3 linked regions of the Coturnix japonica genome follow. Each later gene encodes a partner of the first gene's protein in a complex. Links are inferred from orthologs where the notes say so. Each region holds a gene or a part of one and is shown in the gene's direction. Other genes may lie near its edges. The genes, in order: CDC42, IQGAP2 and CRK.

Evidence for each region.
Region 2: the proteins of CDC42 (region 1) and IQGAP2 are in contact, whole or in part, in a crystal structure (PDB 5CJP), measured with the Homo sapiens proteins. The link is inferred for Coturnix japonica from reciprocal best matches to the Homo sapiens genes CDC42 and IQGAP2. Residues at the interface, in NP_001034891.1 of Homo sapiens: Gly12, Ala13, Ile21, Thr25, Asn26, Lys27, Phe28, Pro29, Ser30, Glu31, Tyr32, Val33, Pro34, Val36, Phe37, Asp38, Tyr40, Phe56, Tyr64, Leu70, Gln74, Gln116, Leu119, Asp122, Pro123, Ser124, Thr125, Glu127, Lys128, Lys131; in NP_006624.3 of Homo sapiens: Gln893, Thr894, Asn924, Tyr925, Ser927, Asn928, Gln929, Arg930, Glu931, Glu932, Arg976, Gly977, Asn979, Gln983, Asp1067, Leu1068, Leu1069, Pro1070, Tyr1071, Lys1191, Phe1192, Asn1193, Lys1196, Tyr1197, Leu1200, Val1201, Thr1202, Val1203, Ser1204, Lys1205.
Region 3: CDC42 (region 1) and CRK share a complex: the UniProt entries of both Homo sapiens proteins name them as parts of the collagen stimulated complex. The link is inferred for Coturnix japonica from reciprocal best matches to the Homo sapiens genes CDC42 and CRK.

The regions. Positions count from the first base shown.
Region 1 is NC_029536.1:5,530,743-5,534,721, reverse strand, and holds the start of CDC42 (cell division control protein 42 homolog), read left to right. Parts: upstream 1-1,179; 5' UTR 1,180-1,303; intron 1,304-3,979. UniProt on the Homo sapiens protein: Plasma membrane-associated small GTPase which cycles between an active GTP-bound and an inactive GDP-bound state. In active state binds to a variety of effector proteins to regulate cellular responses. Involved in epithelial cell polarization processes.
Region 2 is NC_029547.1:21,514,013-21,517,680, reverse strand, and holds part of IQGAP2 (ras GTPase-activating-like protein IQGAP2), read left to right. Parts: intron 1-505; coding exon 506-573; intron 574-932; coding exon 933-1,046; intron 1,047-3,622; coding exon 3,623-3,668. UniProt on the Homo sapiens protein: Binds to activated CDC42 and RAC1 but does not seem to stimulate their GTPase activity. Associates with calmodulin.
Region 3 is NC_029534.1:3,973,129-3,977,379, forward strand, and holds the start of CRK (adapter molecule crk), read left to right. Parts: upstream 1-1,446; 5' UTR 1,447-1,575; coding exon 1,576-1,819; intron 1,820-4,251. UniProt on the Homo sapiens protein: Involved in cell branching and adhesion mediated by BCAR1-CRK-RAPGEF1 signaling and activation of RAP1.

The DNA.
Region 1 (3,979 bases):
TCCCTTTCTAGTGTGGATTTGTTCACCTTAGACCAAGTAGTTCTCCTCCTGACCCATGCCCTGCAGCAGAAGAAGGGGTTTTGGTGCCTGGCTTGAGACCTGAAGATGGGGATGCTGCAGCCCTGGATTCTCCCTCAGCTCATCTGCATCTTATCTGCCCACAAGGCTTTTGTTACAGCGCTGCCATCAGCCCAGCCCCATCCTGCGGAGCTTCACTCTGGCTGACCGAAATCTTCTCAGAGTCATTGTAGGATTTAGGAAGAAGCTTTTCCCAGCGCACCCTCCCTCACTCAGAGCACTGGGCAAATTAAAAGCAATGTGTTGTTATTATTAGGCCAGGCTATAATTAATTCCTTATCAAGTCACAAGTGCCTCATTTGATAGGGTGCTTCCCCCCCTGCATGTGTTATCACCCCAGGTCTTATTTTACTGCATGTTATTAAATCTGAATGGGAGAAAGTTAATTACTGCATGGGCTGTAGTGCTAATTACAGCAACATCGGAGACCTGTGATTTATGCTTCTCTGGGAGGAAGGTGTTCCTGCCCCAGTTTTATCTGTTTCCCATCATTAAGAACTGTAAGCTGATGTACAAAGGATTGGGGTGATGGCTGCTGCCTCTGCTTGTGGTTTCTTATGTGTGGGGTCCCTCACAAAGCTTATGGAAGGGCCTCTATTAAAGCTAATGGAGGGGTCTCTATTAAAGCTTATGGAGGGGTTTCTATTAAAGCTTATGGAGGGGTCTCTATTAAAGCTTATGGCGGGGTCTCTATTAAAGCTTATGGGGGGGTCCCTGATAAAGCTTATGGAGGGGTCTCTAATAAAGCTAATGGAGGGGTCCCTAATAAAGCTTATGGGGGGGGTCCCTGATAAAGCTTATGGGGGGTCTCTATTAAAGCTTATGGGGGGTCCCTGATAAAGCTTATGGGGGGGGTCCCTAAGTGCCTCTGGCCTATTGGCTGCCTCTTCTTGGCTTAGCCTGCCCCTAATGCAGTTTTGGGTCCATAGGGTGGGAGTTGCATTAGGAACAAGGCACCAAACAGCGGCTGGGAGAGGCCTGGGCTCTAACTAACCCTGCTGGTGACCCACATAGCGGCCTTATCGCCCCTCCGACCCAACCGGCCGCACAGGCCTCGACTGAGCAAACCGGAAGCGCGCTCCGCCTTCTCGTTCAATACGCGATGACGTCACCCGCAGCGTCCCCCCTCCCAGCGCTACGCGATGACGTCACCCGCAGCGTGCCCCTGCGCCTGAAGCCGAGGAGACCCCGCAGCGAGCCGCCAACGCCCGGCGGAGACTCTGAGGTGAGCGGCCGCGGCGGAGCGGGGCGGGAGCGGCGGGCGGGTGTGCGGGCTGCACCGCGCCTCTGTACCGCCATCACACAGCGGGGGCGGAGAACCGGGACCGTGTGGGTGCGGGCTGTGTGTGTGTGGGGCCTCCCCGCCGCTGGGTTGGGGCTGTTGGCGCAGAGCGGGGCTGAGGTGTGTGTGTGTGTGTGTGTGTGTATGGGGGGGAGCGCGGCCTACGCGGCCCAGCTCGGCCTCCTCCTCGTCCTGCCCCCCGCCCGGCACGGAGCGCTGGGCCCTGCGGGTTGTGAGCCCCGCAAGGGAGGAGGGGAAGCCGGAGGTCGGTGCCGCAGGTTGGGCCTGTGCTTCTTCCGGGAGCGCCGCCCAGCTCTGAAGTAGTTCCGAGGCGCAGTTGGGGTGTGGGCTTTGCTTTAGGAACCGCCGAACGTTTCCTTTCCTTCCCTTCCCTCTCCTCCTTCTCCCTATAAAGAGCTGGGAGGCGCTGCCCGGCTTTTGTCTCGCCCAGGTGCTGGGTCATCCGCCGTCCCGTTGATGTATATGGCTGGTTGTTGGCTGCTGTGCTTGGAGGGTTGATGTGGGGGGGGATTTCTCTTCCATCTTTGAGCTCTCTGAGATGAAATATAGTGTGGCCCCTTTCATAGTAGCTTTTCTTGTAAGCTGATGGTGGTGGTGGCCCAGGTGTGTGTGGAATCTGTGCTTGGGGGAGATAAGGATGGTACCTGCCCCATCTGCCTGCAGGCTGCAGAGCCAGCACTGCTATCTAACCATATAGACTGAGCACCATGAAGGCAAGGCCTGGATGAGAGGCTGTGATAGACGTGCAGGCCAAAGTAGTTCAGTCTGTGATTGCATCTGTTTGTATTACTTCTACCATAAAGAAAGAGAATCACAGAATCACAGAATGACCTGGATTGGAAGGGACCTCAAGGGTCATGTAGTTCCACCCCCCCTGCCTGGCAGGGCCACCAAACATACACATTTACTAGATCAGGTTGCCCAGGAGACCCCATAGATCAGGTTGCCCAGGGCTCCATCCAACCTGGGCTTGAACACTTCCAAGGACGGGGCATCCACAACCTCCCTGGGCAGCCTGTGAAAGAGATGCTGGCTTTATTCAAAGTGTTCCATTGGAGCACCCCAAATGGCCTTTTTTTAGAGGAATAATTAAAACCCAGGTTAAGTTTCTAGTGTTTCTAATGGGAGTAAGTCAGTAAAGCACTTGGAGCTTGGCTCTGTTGCACAGGAACAAGTTTAGATAGAAAGGCTTTGTATTCAGGTGTTTATATGTGGAAAATGTGTTGTTCTGGCTTGGAAATGAGTGAGATGATGGGGTGGAGTGTAGGCAAGTCTTCATCCGAAGCAGGTAACGCATGAATGAATCAATATGTTAATGTGTTTAATATTGTTAGTTGTGAAACGACTCTTTGTTCGGTCTGTTTACTGCTTATATGCTGCAGTAATAAGGACGCAAAGCATTTTAAAGCCTTGCTGAGGAATAAAAGCTGCAGGATAAAACACGCTTGCAGTACCAGAAGTGTCTTTAGATGCAGCTTTTAAGTCACCTACAGCCTTGCACACTGCAGCCCCTCAGTCCTTGCTTGCTGTGGCCAGCCCAGCTTTGGCTCCATCCATAGGCATGATGATGAATGTCAACCTACTCCAATTCAGGAGTGTTGGTATATAGGGGTTGTAATTATCCTCACACTTAATACTCAGTTTCTGATGAAAAACCAACAGATATGGAGGTGCTGTTGCATTAAAAGGAAGCGATATGGGTTTCTAGTATGTAGCAGGAGCTCTGCTTACACACTTAGTGCACTGTAGGCTTTGACCATGGCTCCTGTCACCCCGTTATGCTGGAATGCATGTGTCCATGGGTTCTGATCCAAGTTCCTTTAATGTGGAGTGGAAAGCATCAATGAGAAATCTCTTCTGGAACATCATTCCCAACAAAGTATAATCCCTTTATCAGCAGTGATATTGATAGGCCTGAGATAAGCACGCTGCTTCCTGCAGACAGTGTTGGGGCAGTTCCTACGCATGGAGCACCAGCAGCTGAGCCATGCACTGGGTGCTGCAGCTGATGTGCACAGGGTGGCTGCCCTTATGCAAAAGTGCTCACTGTGCTGCTGCCAGTGTCAGCTGTAGTGCTTCTAAATGTGTCTGGCTATAGGGAGGGGAGCTGGGATAAGCAGCCGTGCTTCTCAGGGTTTAATGTGGGATGACTTCTGCCTTCTTCTTTGAGTCCATGTGAAGGTGGTTCCTTTGAGGTCCGAGCAGTGAGCAGATGGGAACCTTGCTGTGCTGTGCCCACTGAGTCACGCTCTGCTTGACCAGGCTTGTTTTGAATGTAGGGCTGTGCAATGGCTGTTGACTCTTTCATTTCTTTTAAGTAGTAGGACTTAAAAGGTGTTATGTTGGCAGTGCTTTAAGCTCAGACTTCTAAAATTCTCCCACTCAGCTGCATTCACTTCCTATCTTGTGTATGTCTGCACTTATCAGCTTGTTGTGACGAGCCCTGCTGAATAGTGTGGTAGCTGTCAGTTCTTAAGTTGCATTAAGCATAGCATATATCAGTCTAAGAGCTGCTTTTTGAGGTGACACCTTGAGCTTCTCCCTTGGTAATTCATAGCAGCTCATCCAGAAAACAAGTTACTTCAAAATGATAGAGAC
Region 2 (3,668 bases), on another chromosome or scaffold:
AGTTTACTTCATTCTGCCAAAGCAAATTGCTTCATGACAGAAATATACTTGAGAGGGGCTAGGAGCATATTCCTCTACACTTAGTAAGAAGGCTGTCGGTAAATTGTGTGCCTTCAGCTACTAATTGTAAGTGTATAAGAATTCAAGTCAAAAGAACTATAGACCCAAAGCTATGGGTCTTTAGCTCTGCTAAAGTACATTCATATATTATTCTTGACCGTATTAACTCTTGAACTTCTTTAGAAACCCTCAGTGGAAAGTAATTACGTGTTCACACTTCCTCTGTGATCTGAGACAAAATGACAGTATGTCTTACAGATCTTTCTTTGAAACTGCAAGTAAAAAATATCTATTATACATAAAATACAGCAAAAAGACAAATTTGTTCTGTAGCCCTCCATGAAAGAGAAATGTTGAAGGACAACCTTCACAGTGGCAGTTATACACTGTTGAATAGAAAATGAACACATCAATGTTTTCTAATGCTTGTTATTCTTCTTTGTAGTTTATATCTGTTCAAACTAGGATTAGCACCACAAATTCAGGACCTACTGGGAAAAGTAGACTTCACAGGTAACGAACTGCTTATCTAATCATGTCCTACGTAACTCCTTCATGCAGTAAATCTGCTAACATTGTACATATTTTCCATTACAGTCTTTCTCCTCCCTTAGGGTTGTACGGAGCAGCTCCTAATTAAATATGTGGGAGGGTGCTATTTTTAATAAATACATGTTTTTGAAGGGCAGAAGCGAGTGAATTTGTATAGAATACTTGTCATATCTTAGATACTTTCTTTCAAAACGGGGAAAAAAGCTGCTGAGGATCCCTGATCACATTTGCTTTCAATAAAATAAAATTGCACTAGATACGATGATTCACAATGGAGTTATTCAGATTTTGTTCTAATGATTTCTTTCCTACCTGAACAGAGGAAGAAATCAGCAACATGCGAAAGGAGCTGGAGAAGTATGGCATACAGATGCCGTCTTTTAGTAAAATTGGTGGGATTCTGGCCAGTGAATTATCAGTTGATGAAGCTGCATGTAAGTAAACACCTCTTTTGGTTCTGTTTTCTACTGAATAAACTGAAAGGATGCCAACAAAATACTATTTTTATTCATCTATCTCTTGAACATCATCTTTTGATAAGCGATTAGAAATGCAGTCAACTGTTCATTGACCATCACATTTTGTAACTGTTACAAGATCTTTTTTCTATTTGCCCATCTGCATTATTGAGCAGAAGATAGTTTTATGCAGTCTATTGCATTTTTAGGAAGCACTATCAGAAACAAAGACTTCTTTCTATCTCTTGTGTGTGTTTATAGTTTTGGTACCTAGTGCTTCTTTAGAATGAAGAAGTGAGATTTGTGGGTGACTCTACACCAGAAAAGTTGCAACGGGCTACTCAAGACAGCATATGTAGTGAAATTTAAAAGTATCAATACAGAAAAGGAGCAGACTGAGTGGAGGAAAAACAAAGCAATGACAGAACACATTACTTAATGTAATTAAGTACCAGTGCAGCTTTCCTAAACTTTACAATGCAGAATAATTGAAACAGATTTATTTGTGATTTAGTGTGCTGAAGTTTCCAGATATGAACGTAAAGCGTGCTTCTCTTGTGTTGATTTACCTTGTCACGTATTTTGCAGCTTGCTGCAGCTGAATGCTGTGTAGACTTGTGCAAAGCCAGATCTTAAAATACTCTTTTTTGAAGTAAGCTTTGTTTTTCTGATTGACCTTTTTTTTTTTTTTAGCAAACTTTCAGAGATTTAGTGATGATAAAACACTTTTTTCCAGTAAGCTTCCTTCCTTCCCTTATGATGAAAGGACTGCAACTTCCTTTTCTGGTTCTGAAAGCTTTTTATAGTGTGTGTATATAGTTTCCTTCAACTTTGGAAGAGTTTTCAGCCTTTTATAGAAAATCAGGGTTTCCTGATGCTGGTTCTGTCTCTTTAGGCAGGGACTGTGCTGTCAGTAATGTGCCCTGCCCCAGAACAGGAAATATCTGCTGTGGGAACCCTCATGCATCAATGAGAATTGATGTGGAGATCCTGCTACAGGAGGGCTATCAGCCTGCTTCTGAAATGGAGTGAGCAAAATAGAAATAGGAAGTGAAACAACAACTGATGACTTTTGCTATGCTGTCAGTATTAGTACAAATCAGCATGCAAAGAGTAAACTTAAGTACTCTCAAAACTGACTATTTTTCTAAATAACCATATTTTGTCCGGTCACATTTCTCATTGTTTCTCTTGGCTTACAACATCCACCAGCACAAGTTCACAGCTTTCCTAATCTTTTTACTATCTGTTGTCCACTTGTTGCTGGCTCCACTTATGTCAGAGGTACCTCTTATACAATACTGTGAGAGATTACATCCTTTCTGTGTATTTTTAGATGCAGATGCAGGGGCTTACACATCTTCACTTTGCCCCTTCAGGCAGACCTTGGTTTTTATAAAGCTGAATGTTGAAGAAAACAGTGTGACTCTCCACATCCCTGTGCCAGCTGCTTATCATTAGAAGAGAATGTTGTACTGACTTGAGCTAGAGAAAACGATTTCATAGCAACTAACGGCTGGGGAACACTTTTCTATTTGTAGCTTGCAGATTTGCAGGGTATGGGAGTAGGGAGACATTTTGTTAGTGACACTGTCTTCCCCAGTTCTCATGGAGATCCTCAATAAAGAAAGGAGAATTATCATCTTGGACAGTTTTAGACATGGCATTTAGGGTTGTGCCCCAATTGGGGAGTCTTAGCTGTATTTTCTAGGTAACAGATTTCACTATTTGAATTTTCTTTTTCCTGCATAAAATCTTTCAGTAACAATTATTTTAAACAATATTTTTAAGTAGTCATATAATCATTTAGGTTTTGGAGAATACTTTTGCTATCATGAAATCCAACCATCCACATAACAAGTCCACTGCTAAGCTATGTCCCAAAGCATCATATGTACTCATCATGTAAGTGTTGCTGTACAGACACAAAGGAGCTTTAACTAAGGGAAGTGACTGAAAATACTTTTGCTGCATGTAATTGCCTTCAAAATGACATGGAACTTGAATAACAAAACTCAACTCATGTTTATACTGTCACCAAACAGCAGCCCCTAGTTGGGAGACAAAAACTAGGAACAGATAGTGGTCATAATGCTACTAAAGCTGCCTTTGAGTAAATAGAGTACATTTGTTGCTGCTGCCTGGGGAAACAAGTGGAAAGTTTATATTATCTTACGCGTATTAAACCATTATTTCAAATAAATTAGAACATGGTACTGACCTGAAGGAACAGAACTTGCATGCAACAACTGACTGAATGGTCTAGAGCTGGACAAAGTTGGACAAGGTGCAGTTAATCTCATAGTCATACATGCGCACTGTTCTTGGATGCTTTTACTGCTACTTCTGTATCTAATGGAGGTATTTCATTGTCTTGCTACAAAAGCTAAGTGAATTCTGGTTAATTAGTGATTTCCCACCATTACTGAAGGGATTTGTATTTCTGTTGTCAACAGCATGTTATCAGTTTATTCCTTTTAAAATGAAGACCAAGGTCAAGGAATGATTTGAATGTTCTAATTGCTTCCTAAAATCTTGGTTTATACTTCTAGTGCATGCTGCAGTGATAGCAATTAACGAAGCTATTGAGAAGGGAAT
Region 3 (4,251 bases), on another chromosome or scaffold:
GCATTCTAGGTTCCAAATAGATCATGACTGGCTCCTACCTACAGTCCATCTGGAGAGAGAACAGGATCAGCGAAGGAAGGATGCTCATTTGTTAAACCATCTGATAAGTCAAACACCTGGTGTTTTCTTATATATTTATAACTGCAGCCTCCCACCTGTAAGATAGAATATTTTTCCATTGGGATACTGTGAAGGTTCATACAAAACACAATACCAAAGCCACTCCATGAGACAGTCACAGGGCTTCCCAATGCCTCACAAGAAAGCAAAGGTGCTGTGAGCCAGCACATGCACTTGCACAGTTAAGGGCAGCTGTGCTCCATGTTTATGCAAGTGCTGCCACATGGAGGCCACACAGTTGAAAATACACATTCCTTTGGGGGAAAAAAAAAAGCTTATAGAATTGAGCAGAGCTGGAATGGAATTGTCTATGCAGTTATCCAGACTCTGAAGATGTTACTCTGGAACTTGAAGCTAATCTAAACTTGGTACCTATTTCTCCATCCTTATAATTCTTAATGGTGCATACACCCACATGCACATTCCCCTGCAGCAGAAATGGAAGTGAAGCAACTTTATCTGCAGGCTCCTGCGGTCAGTGATCTTCTCAGGGTCAGAAACAGCTTGTTTTTCCACAGGGCTCTACTTAACACAGAACATCTCCCTGGGAAGGGTTTTCCAGTGGTTTTCCATGCAAACAGCTGTGAGGCAGGAAAATGCAGCTGGCTGGGAAGGTGAAAGCACCAACTGCAGGTGGCAGCTTCTCTCTGAAGGAAAAAAGACAATGAATTGAATCCTCAATGGAGGGACAGGAAGATGATCAGGGGCTGGAGCACCTCCCCTCTGAGGACAGGCTGAGGGAGTTGGGTTTGTTCAGCCTGGAGAAGAGAAGGTTGCGGGGTGACCTCATTGCAGCCTTTCAATACCTGAAGGGAACCTATAACCAGGAGGGGAGTAAACTCTTGGAAAGGGCTGACAATAGCAGGACACGGGGAAATGGTTTGAAGTTAAAAGAGGGAAGATTTAGGTTGGATGTCAGGGGGAAGTTCTTCACTAGGAGAGTGGTGAGGCCCTGGAACAGGCTGCCCAGGGAGGTTGTGGATGCCCCGTCCTTGGAGGTGTTCAAGGCCAGGTTGGACGGGGCCATGGGCAACCTGATCTAGTAAAGGTGTATGTTTGGTGGCCCTGCCAGGCAGGGGGTTGGAACTACATGATCCTTGAGGTCCCTTCCAACCCGGGTCATTCTGTGATCCTGTGGGTGCCCAGACGGACCCTCCGCACTCACAATCAGGTCTCACCTACAAGGCAGCACACACACAGCTCCCCTCAGACCCTGCGCTCCACCCAACGCGCATGCGCAGCCCCCACAGGCCGCCAACCGTCCCCAAGGCCGCGCGTTGTGATGACGTCACGTATCCCCCCGCGTCTCCCGCGTGCGGTCACTTCCGGTAGGTGAGGTCAGGGTAGGGGCCGCCATTTTGGTGCGGTAGGGCTGGGCGCGGAGCTGGGCACCGCGGGCGGCGGCGGCCCGCGGGGCGGGGGCAGCGAGTGCGGCCTGCGGGCGGGACGGCCCCCATGGCCGGGCAGTTCGACTCCGAGGACCGGGGGAGCTGGTACTGGGGGCGGCTGAGCCGGGCCGAGGCGGTGTCGTTGCTTCAGGGGCAGCGCCACGGGACCTTCCTGGTGCGAGACTCGGGCACCATCCCCGGAGACTTCGTCCTGTCGGTGTCTGAGAGCTCCCGCGTGTCGCACTACATCGTCAACAGCCTGGGGCCGGCGGGAGGACGAAGGGCCGGCGGAGAGGGCCCCGGGACCCCGGGTGAGTGACCCCCAGGGCTGGCCGTGCCCATCAGCCGCTGCGGGCCCCGCTCTGCGCCTGGTCCCTGCAGCTCCGCTCTGCTCACGGCCGGGTCTGAGAGTCGTGGTGGAGTCGTGTTGTGTTGGAGTCGTGTTGCTCTTTGTAGAGGACTTAATTCAATCTCGCCTTGCAGCCGTTTCCCTGCACCTGCCTCGCATCTAAACGATGGGACAGAGCGCAGCCCGGAGCCGTCACACTTTTACAGCTTTATGCCTTCTTTCGTTTTGTTTTAATTTGTGGGTGAGGTGTGTCAGCGTGGAGATGGATCCCTGGAAGTGTCAATTCAAAGGTTGAATTGGGTTGGAATAGTTGAGAGTTAAGAGGACAGATTGTGAGGCTAAACTTAGTCGTGAATCAAAGCTGGGTGGGAGCAGTGTAAAGGCGTTTGTTCCTTTAGATCAGATACGGAATTCAGGGTTCCCCCTCCTACACACACCTTGTGTTGTAAAGGGAGATTTGATGTTATTCCTCATCAACCTCTAATACAAACATAATGTACTTAAGTTAACCCTTGAAGTGTTGCTTTTGCATTGCAGAAAGCAATGATTCTGAACGCACAAGTGACCTGGAGCCTTCAGCAATGTATAATCTATCGATGTGTGATGAGAAGGTTGAATTAAGCAGCAGCCCTGATGGGGGCATTGCTGATGTTGGCGGTGGAGCCGCTCCTGTCTGGATGTTAATGCTCACAGAATGATGTGGGCGAATTGCTGGCATCTCTGAGAAACCACTACAAAGTCTGGAAGGCTGTATAATAAGGCTGTGTAATAGGAGAGCTAATGAACCTGACGAGGAGTGAAGTTAGGACATAGGTTGCTACAGAGACAGAAAGGCTGTGCAGACTGTAGTTGATAAAGAAGGAATCTGTTGGTGGTGGGTGGGTTTGCACCATTCTACAGTGATCTCTCCTGATTGGGGTAACGTTTAGAATTGACAAACTGGGGAAAGCCTGAAGTCATTGGGTTCATCACAGGAATCTGCCGCTGCTGTAAGGTGTGCTTCAGTCACACAAAGCTCTGCAATGCAGGAGATAAAGGTGGCTGCATTGAACTGGAAGCGAAGCGGGTAGTGAAGTGGTTTACCACAAGATACATTCGGTTCCTCAGCGTTTCATGTCTTATCAAGGCAAAGGTTTATTTTCATAGGTTGATGTGTGAAACGTGTGGTTGTTACACAGAGCAGAATAAGCTTCTATGGTGATTTGTAGTGGAGTCCATCCTGAGCTTTATTACTTTTTGGAAGTCCACTTTTTCCCCACCTTGATGTTATTGGAATAGGTGCTGCTTTGCTTTCACACCAAAGGTATTTTTGTGCTGAAATTCAAGTGGGTTTAAATGAATGTCATGCTGATGCTGTGCGCTTTTCACGCTCAAAGGAAGAAAGTGTGTGTGTAGTAAGTTACGTTTAACCTGTAATTAAGAATTTCCTCCAGGGAGAAATGTTCTTTAAAGGAAGGGACGTGCTATTATTGCTATAAGGTTGAAGATGATTTCAGGTTTGGATGGGGAAGGTAGTGCAGTGAAATGAGGTAAATGTTCACAAGTAGCTATTTTGGAAAAACCAACTTTACCATGTCAGTTTTCTATATGGTCTACTTATTTTTATTGCAATTGATTGTTTGACAGATGCACACAACTCACTGGAAAGCCTAAATATGCCCGGTCAGGTTCCTGTGTTGATTTATTGGCTTCAGGTGATTGAAATGCATGTGTGATTTGTGACTGCTTGTACCCTGCTGTGTGCAGGTGACAGTAGGAACCTGACTTTAAACCCATCACGTCTTTGCAGTTTGACATACAAGGATAGGGCCGTGATGTCTGGTGTACACTCAAACATCTAAAGACATCAGGCCAGAAGCCTGAAAGCCTTAACGTTTTTCTTTATGACATAGAGAAGTGTGACAGAGTGGAAGGTGATGTTTTCAGTAAGTATTATGCGTCTTAAGAACGTGCTTATTGCGCTCCATTGTGATTTTCTGAAGGATTCAGGCTGCACTTCCTGGACTCATGTTTTTATAGAGCATTCCTGAGTGCTTGTCTCAGTAGTGAGCAGACAGGCACTGAAGAACAAGGAGAAGAAGGTGTCGGAATGAAGGTGGGGGAAACAGGCAGAAGGTTTTGCCTCTGTTGCAGAGTTGCTCTAGGAGGAAGGCTGTGATATGTTGCTGTGATGTGTTCAGAGTGAGAGCCTCGTGTCTCAGCACCCTGAACACCAAGAACAGCCTTTCTTTCCCCAAATGTGCTTTTGAAGATGGGGGTAGGGGTTTGTGGGGTGTGTCTAGAGATGAAATTGAAAACCTATATTCCTGTTAAGTCTCCCATGCCCTAAAAAGGAAAGCTTACCAAAGCTTAGGGATAAAGAGAAAACTGCCTAGTGGCACGGACGGGATGGGA